Linked DNA regions of Arabidopsis thaliana. The protein of the gene in region 1 purifies or fractionates together with the protein of each later gene. This does not show direct contact. Each region holds a gene or a part of one and is shown on either strand. Other genes may lie near its edges. The genes, in order: BOU and psbE.

Region 1 (4,882 bases):
TATTTTGAAAGAAAAACTGATCAAACCATACCTGAAAAAGTCTGGTCTCCAAAGCCGCGATTCGATCTAGTAACGATCCTTTGAAATACGCTTCTCTAATCGCCGTGCCTCTATCGATTAACCCACGCGTGGTAGGCGCGCTTTCGTCTTTCCATTTCGGAAGGTTTTGTTGTCTCTCTAGATTCTTTATCTACATAAAACAAAAACAAAAAACTCGAATAAATTCATAAAAGTACTAATGTATGTTTTCTTAACTTAGGAACCAAAGACAAAAAAAACAATTTACAACGAAATCCAAGTGTTCAAGCCTAGAGAGCATAGGCAAAGAAGAGAGTGAATGTTTTTGTTGCTCAATCGTCTCCATAAGACTTGTTATTTTTTTGGGATTTCTCTAACATGTGATATTATTTTTTTGGTTTATATAGTGGAAAAAGTTATATAGATAAGTAAAAAAATGTAAGACGATAAAGGAAAAAGCAGTTGAGTTCCCTCCTTTTTTTCCTGTTGACACTCTCTACTTGTACAGAGTCATACGCTAATCTGTTATTTAATTTAAATTAACAAAATAGTCTAAATATAAATATTAACTCCAATTTATAAACCAAAAATAGAAAAATTAAACCCCTATATTATAAACACCTAAAAGGCTAAAAACTTTAAATTCGTAACCCCACAATATAAACCTAATTTTTATAGATTAAACCCTTAAACAAACCCCTTAGCGAACTCTTAAATCACTAAGTTCGGTTTAGTTTGATTTAGTTACCATCCGATTCTGTTTTTGTTCGGTTCAATTCGGTTAAAATGTTAATGTCAACCACTAGTTCTTCTGTGTAAGAAATACTGAAATAAACTGTGTAAATGGTACATAAATTTTGCAGAAATTTTTTAAGAATCAAATCTAAAAACAGAGAGGTTAATCGCAATGGAACATTCAGAAATCGAACCAACAGTTAAACCCAAACCGAACCGGTTTATCCCAAGCTTGACCTTGTCATCTCATAAGCCAAGAAGCAAGCAGCATTAGCAGGAACACTCCTAGCCATAGCTGGACCAAATCCTTTATACAAACCTTTAACTCCTTCAGATTTCAGAATCTTCCGAAAAGCATCCATCGACCCCGTGTATCTCGGGTTTTTGTAATCGTCGACTTGAAGAACACTCTTCACAACATCTGTCGGATATACTATTCCCCAAAAAGAAGCACCAGCGACTCCACCCGCCATGATCAATGACCCTTGTCCTAAGCTTGAAGTGTCTGAACCACCGGCTAAAAACCGCTTGAAAGCTTCGTAGGCTGCAAACATTGTTGCATTTCCCGGGACTTCACGGGCGAATGTAGGGAATAAACCTTTGAATAGACCTCGTGCTCCTCCTTCTGATCGTAGGACATGACGGGCTACATCCATTGGTCCACCGTATTTCACGGCTGCAACCACTGAGCTTGTAGTAGAGGCACCAGCTAATGCACCTTGTGCTTGCAACCTGATGGAGAAACAAGATTAAACACACACACAAAGAGACATGTTTTAGTTCTGTTTCAGTCTAGAGCTTGAGTTAAAAGCACATGTATATATAGGCTCTGATTGGTAATACATGTAAAAAGAACCTAACCTGCACTTGATCAACTCGGTAGGACAAGCAAGGAACGAAACAGCGAAACCAGCGCCTGCACCGGCCACAAACTGTTGACTAATGGTCAAAGGAACTCCAGCTTCAGACCTAAGCAGCCCTTCCATTTGACCTCTCACAGTGAACAAAACCGCATTGAAGGCAGCAACGGTTGCAAGTGGAGCTCCCATACCTTTATACAAACCTTTGGTTCCTTCAGAAGCAACGGTCTGTTTAACCGCATCGATTGCACCGGTGTACCTTGGAAGTTGGCCTGGTGCTGGAGTCGGTTGGCTCTGAAGTTTGACCTTGATAGTGTCAAATGGATGACCAACAACTAGTTGAGCAGCTCCTCCAACAGTCCCTGAAGCTAAATCCTTCCACGCATCCGCCATTTCTAAGAAACAATAAATCAATCAAATTTCTCAGAATCAACCAAAAAAATCAAAAGTTTTTGTTAATTAAGAATAAGTTTTACACCACTTGAAACAATTTTCTCAGAACAAACCAAAATCAAAACCTTTGTTAATGAATACTTGTCATTTAACTTGTGACCTAAACCACTTTAACTAACCAAATGTTTCATAAACCAACCAAACTCACTACTTTTTGTTAATGAATAATCCTTCAAGAGTCAAGATTAACTTATAACCTAACCACTTAAACCAACTATATCATCATCCAAAATCAGTACTTTTGTCACTTGTGACCTGAACCACTTAGCCAATCAAAACGTATAAACAAACCAAGTTTGAATATAACAAAGACGTTTCAAAGAGTTTTTCTCATAAAAAGTGGATATTTTTATTTTGCTTCCAAGAAAGTAGGAATCTTATGATCATTTCCAATCATTACCAAATCAAAGGATTCAGAAGACAATGAGAGAAATCTTAACAAAACCTGAAAATGTAACCAAACTCAAACTCTAAAAACATGTCATTTTTCCTCAGTTGTCTCTGAGAAAGTTTGAATCTTTTAATCCCTAGAACTCAAATGGTGGATTCATAAGACAATGAGGTGAAATCAGATCAAAAACCCAGAAGGAAAATTCAATCAAAAGTGATTAAATATTAGCTTACCAACGATTGATTAGAGAGAATCCAATCGATATCAGATGGATCCGAGAAAGGTTAGCCGCTCGAATAAAAATGAAAAAAAAACAAATCCAGATGCGAATCCACGGGATAGAGATTCAGAGACACAAAACGAGTGATCAGATAAAATCCAAAAAGAAACAAAAAAGGATTCAAGTGGACATAAAAGTTTTTAACTTTTAACCACTCGAATGGCTATCTACGACACAACCACAAAGGATGGAGCTTTGCAGAGACTGAAGTTTTGTTTGTTTGTTTTGTCTCTTTAAATTTTCTTTAAGAGAAAACGTTTTTGTTTTAAGTGTGGTTGGTGAAAAATGAAGATCAGTTTGGCTGGTCAGACGTTCGATCAGCTTAATCGGTCGGTTAACGTATAACGTATGTGTGGTTCAGGATTCCAATTTGGTTTAAGGATTGAGCTGGTTTGGAGCTGATTGGGTTTCTATGTTTGAAGATGGGCCGTGGAGTTCTTGTTCAGCCCAAGCTCATCCGGAATTGTTGAAGCTGTTATAAGCCTAACAAAACAATATAAGGTATTTTAGGTATGAAAATAACTCAATTAACTTTATATTTTATGAATTAGTTTACTAATTAAAAATATTACTAATTTAATATATTGGGTCAATAAGTTCTTTTCTCAAAAGAATATTATGAATGGGGTCAAAGGTAGGAAATGATCATATGGCATCAACATGAAAATTTTTATACAAAAACATTTAAGAATTAATATTATTAAGTAAATTACCTTATAATTAAGAATTTTCAGATGACCACCTTCCCTATATATACATTGGCTCCGCCTCAACGGCTGAACATAGAAAATATGCAAACTAAGCAAATGGCTTCTCCTTGGTTGTTGATCATCATATTCTCTCTTTCATTACTTTGCTTCCATGGAAGGTCTCAAAATACTAAGGTCTGTCACCATTTTGTAAGCACTTTGATATAAACTTAAATATATAATACAAATAAAGTTAAAAAAAATTCTCATATCTTGTAGCCTCAAGAACCTGAATACGAATGCGTTGATATCTACAAACAACCTTCGCTACAACACCCTAAACTCCAAAATCACCGAATCCAAGTATATTTCTATATATTTACATTTGTTTGTCGATTTCCTGCACCTAATGTTTATCATGATCATATACTTATCCCTATTTGATTGATATATTTTTTGATGCATCACATAGATGAGACCGAGCGATGAAGCCTTAGCCATGCTCTCAGGAGATACATCATCAGAAAACTTATCAAACGATGAAATGGTTGCTGAGTTTGATATACCAGAAGAAGGATGTCCTCAAGGACAAGTACCAATCCATAAACCAAGAAATAATTTCAACCACACCGAGAAACATTTTCAGCCTATTAATGGATTTGGAACTGTTGGTCAACATGTGAAGTGACTAAAATTTTATACCTTTACTATATATGATCCAAACCATTTGATGTGTATTTTTTTTTTGAAAAAACTGATGTGTATATATATACAGGCTGCGGTAATGAAGAAAATCGATGCCACCCCGTGGCGTGGAGCATCAGCATGGATAAGTATTTACCAACCTAAATTGACAAATAAAGAGCAATTCAGCATGGCTTTCATTTGGCTCAATACTGAGTATGAAGGCGAACGCACCAGTGCCCACTTTGGTTGGGCTGTAAGAATTTAATTTTTTGTTTTGTTTTTTTAAATCGTGATATACTAGATCAAAATTAAACCCACTTAATGCAACCATCATTTAGCATATGTATAATTAGTTCATTTGAATAAATATCATGGTTAAAAGTTTTACTGATAACTTTTTTTTTTTACTACGTATGAAATATATTAAGGTGATTCCTGCACTATATGGCGATAGCCGTACACGACTTACTGCATACTGGAGTGTGAGTAACAATGTCACCAATTATCGTCTGTCCCTATCACAAGAAAGTAGATTTTTTTTTTCTCTTCTTTAACCCCAAATCGTTTTTTGCAGCAAGATACATTCGAAAGCGGATGTTACAATATAAAATGTAAGGGTTTCGTTCAAATTGATAGGAGACTCTTTCTTGGAGCCGGTTTTGCGAACACCTCTGTGGTGGGAGGCCAAAATTTTAAAGCTTTTTTTGCAATCAATCAGGTATATAAGTATATATAACAACTACGTTTTTGAGTTAAACTAAATTCTTGG
Region 2 (3,026 bases), on another chromosome or scaffold:
TGTTTTGGGTACAAAATGTCACGGGTTCAAATCCTGTCATCCCTACCTATTACTGCTCAGAAGAGCAGTAACGAGGTATCTATTTTGATCAATTTTTTTTATCGGACATACATTTAATTCTGAAATTTATGATATACTATGTATGATATAGTATATACGTACAAAATCGAGTCGGGTTAAAGAATGCCCTCTTTCTAGCCTTTTCGTTTTTTAGAAAAAAAAAAAAAGAAAAACGCTCTTAGTTCAGTTCGGTAGAACGTGGGTCTCCAAAACCCAATGTCGTAGGTTCAAATCCTACAGAGCGTGATTTCATAGATTGTATCAAAATTCCACTGTTCACAAATTACTGAGCAGCAGTCTGAATTAGACCTCCCGCATAGGAAAGCAAGAAGGAGGTTAGTAAAAAAACGAGATGTTAATTAATTAAAAGTCCAACTGATCACCACGTCTGTATTGTAAATAAGCAGTTACGAATAATCCAGCCAAAGTAATAGGAATTAGACCTAAGACGATTCCAAATAAAAAAACTTCAATCATTTGAATTTTCTTTTGTTTTCATTTTTGAAAGGGAGAAAAGAGAGGTACTATCTATTCCTAGCTCTTAATCTGTATTGCCAATGAATCTCAATGACCAAAATTTGGTAATTAACACGGTAAGGAACTATCGAACATATTAATAAATACCAACGAAATCCTTTTTTATAAAAAAATCTGCATTCAATTAATTTCAAATAAGTCGTATTTTGCTTAGACCAATAAACAGAACTGAGGTTATAGTTAAAGCTGCTAGTAGAAAACCGAAATAACTAGTTATAGTAGGCATGAAGGGACTCAATAAAATATGTTTTTTTATACATATGTTTCTTAAAGTACTTCCCTAAGTTTCAATTGAAATTTTTTTTAAGAAATAGAGAAAGATAACTAGTTCCAAGAATTAAAAAAATTCAATTGAAAATTTGTGAATTATCAATCATTATAGGTGGTATGAAAAAAAATAGAGAAAGATAAAAAGAACTCAATTCATCGTCTTTGGCATCTGCACTATCTCAGGAGTCAGAATTAACGTAACTTATTAATTGAAAAACTCTTTAAGAAATTAATCATAAAAAAAAATAATACATAAAAAAAATAACTCTATTATCTAACTTCAGTCAAAACATATAACTTTTTTTGAATGAATATGTAAAAATTTGAAAATAAGTTGTTTGATTCTTTTTTTTTATTGACCTTAGAACCTAGAATACGCCTCTTTCTACTTTATTAAAATTGAATTTACTAAAATTTAAACTCATTAGATTAAATTAAATAGTAGAGCAGTTTTCTTCATTTAATCTATCGAATGAGACTAAAAAGAAAAGAGGTATCCTACACGGAGAACGAGATTAGTAAAAAAAAAGATTTATTTATTTTAACTAGATTTTAAACGATAACTAGATTTTTAAAACTTGTAATTAGCAATTTCTATTATCGTTTCCTTTCGAGGTTTTAGGTTTTTTTCTTTCGAGATTATATAGAAAATAGAGTGAAAAACCCATCACCCTTGTAGTTAGTTAAAGAAAGAAAAAAACCTTTGAATTGTGAATTGAATACAACAAAACAATGCACGCATTACAAATATTTAGTCTTTTTTTATTATTTTTATTTGTTGTTCTTTTTAATTGATCCAATCCAATCCAAAACTATTGTTCTTTTTCTTGTTTCTGCAAATTAATTCCTTAAAATGAAACAAAAAGTAAAAGGGGGGATCACATTATCATAAAAAAATCTATTCTACAATTATGCATATGCAATGAAAATGAAATTTATAAATTTTTCATTCAATTAACTTGGGACCATATGAAAATTTGCTTCATGAATTATTAGAATTAGAAACCAACTTCTTGGATTTTCATTTTATCTAATCTTTAGTTTATTTTCTAGTCCAAAACGAATAAAGGATCAAAGCCCCTATAGATTACAGTAATTTGAAAAAGTGGGACACGGTTATACATCGACAAGCAAGAAAAAAAGAAATTATGTAACACCCCATTTCTATACTAATTCAAATTGCGTTGCTGTGTCAGAAGAAGGATAGCTATACTGATTCGGTAGACTCTAAAAATACCCTTGGTACTTTATTGACGATCTCACAAAGATGCAATCTCAGTGAATTTTAATTTACTTATTCATCTTTTACAGAATCGATTCCCTACGAGAATATCTGGAGTTCAGTATGTCTGGAAGCACAGGAGAACGTTCTTTTGCTGATATTATTACCAGTATTCGATACTGGGTCATTCATAGCATTACTATACCTTCCCTATTCATTGCGGGCTGGTTATTCGTCAGCACCGGTTTAGCTTACGATGTGTTCGGGAGCCCTCGTCCAAACGAGTATTTTACAGAGAGCCGACAAGGCATTCCATTAATAACAGGCCGTTTTGATCCTTTGGAACAACTCGATGAATTTAGTAGATCTTTTTAGGAGGACCCAATGACTATAGATAGGACCTATCCAATTTTTACAGTGCGCTGGTTGGCTGTTCATGGACTAGCTGTACCTACCGTTTCTTTTTTGGGGTCAATATCAGCAATGCAGTTCATCCAACGATAAACCTAATTCAATTATAGAGCTATGACACAATCAAATCCGAACGAACAAAGTGTTGAATTAAATCGTACCAGTCTCTATTGGGGGTTATTACTCATTTTTGTACTTGCTGTTTTATTTTCGAATTATTTCTTCAATTAAGAAAAGAGCGTAGAATAATAAAATAAAAAATAAAGAGTAGTAATTTTATTATCCCATTCGGATGGATTATATATAATAATTATCTCTGACTGTTTATGTTTCTAGCATGACCACTCGATTAAATGTGGAGGGAAGCGGGATAAATGGCTGATACTACTGGAAGGATTCCTCTTTGGGTAATAGGTACTGTAGCTGGTATTCTTGTGATCGGTTTAATAGGTATTTTCTTTTATGGTTCATATTCAGGATTAGGTTCATCCCTGTAGAAATTGGATGAGCTGAGTTATAGACGTGA

The links.
Region 2: the proteins of BOU (region 1) and psbE fractionate together in Arabidopsis thaliana (co-fractionation; one large-scale study listed by BioGRID). This does not show direct contact.

Annotation. Positions count from the first base shown.
Region 1 is NC_003076.8:18,987,805-18,992,686, forward strand, and holds BOU (Mitochondrial substrate carrier family protein), read right to left. Parts: upstream 3,064-4,882; 5' UTR 2,691-3,063; exon of another isoform or gene 2,467-2,690; intron 2,009-2,466; 5' UTR 2,007-2,008; coding exon 1,615-2,006; intron 1,486-1,614; coding exon 975-1,485; 3' UTR 784-974; downstream 1-783. Other genes in the region: MSP2 (microspore-specific promoter 2), read right to left, coding at 32-190, 287-364; AT5G46810 (carboxyl-terminal proteinase-like protein, putative (DUF239)), read left to right, coding at 3,360-3,371, 3,706-3,789, 3,899-4,105, 4,202-4,366, 4,542-4,595, 4,688-4,831. UniProt on the Arabidopsis thaliana protein: Involved in photorespiratory metabolism. Acts probably as a carrier for a glycine decarboxylase (GDC) cofactor or, alternatively, may act as a mitochondrial glycine shuttle. Involved in the transition from the embryonic stage to the juvenile autotrophic stage.
Region 2 is NC_000932.1:63,509-66,534, reverse strand, and holds psbE (photosystem II protein V), read left to right. Parts: upstream 1-2,212; coding exon 2,213-2,464; downstream 2,465-3,026. Other genes in the region: petG (cytochrome b6/f complex subunit V), read right to left, coding at 424-537; petL (cytochrome b6/f complex subunit VI), read right to left, coding at 728-823; psbF (photosystem II protein VI), read left to right, coding at 2,474-2,593; psbL (photosystem II protein L), read left to right, coding at 2,615-2,731; psbJ (photosystem II protein J), read left to right, coding at 2,875-2,997. UniProt on the Arabidopsis thaliana protein: This b-type cytochrome is tightly associated with the reaction center of photosystem II (PSII).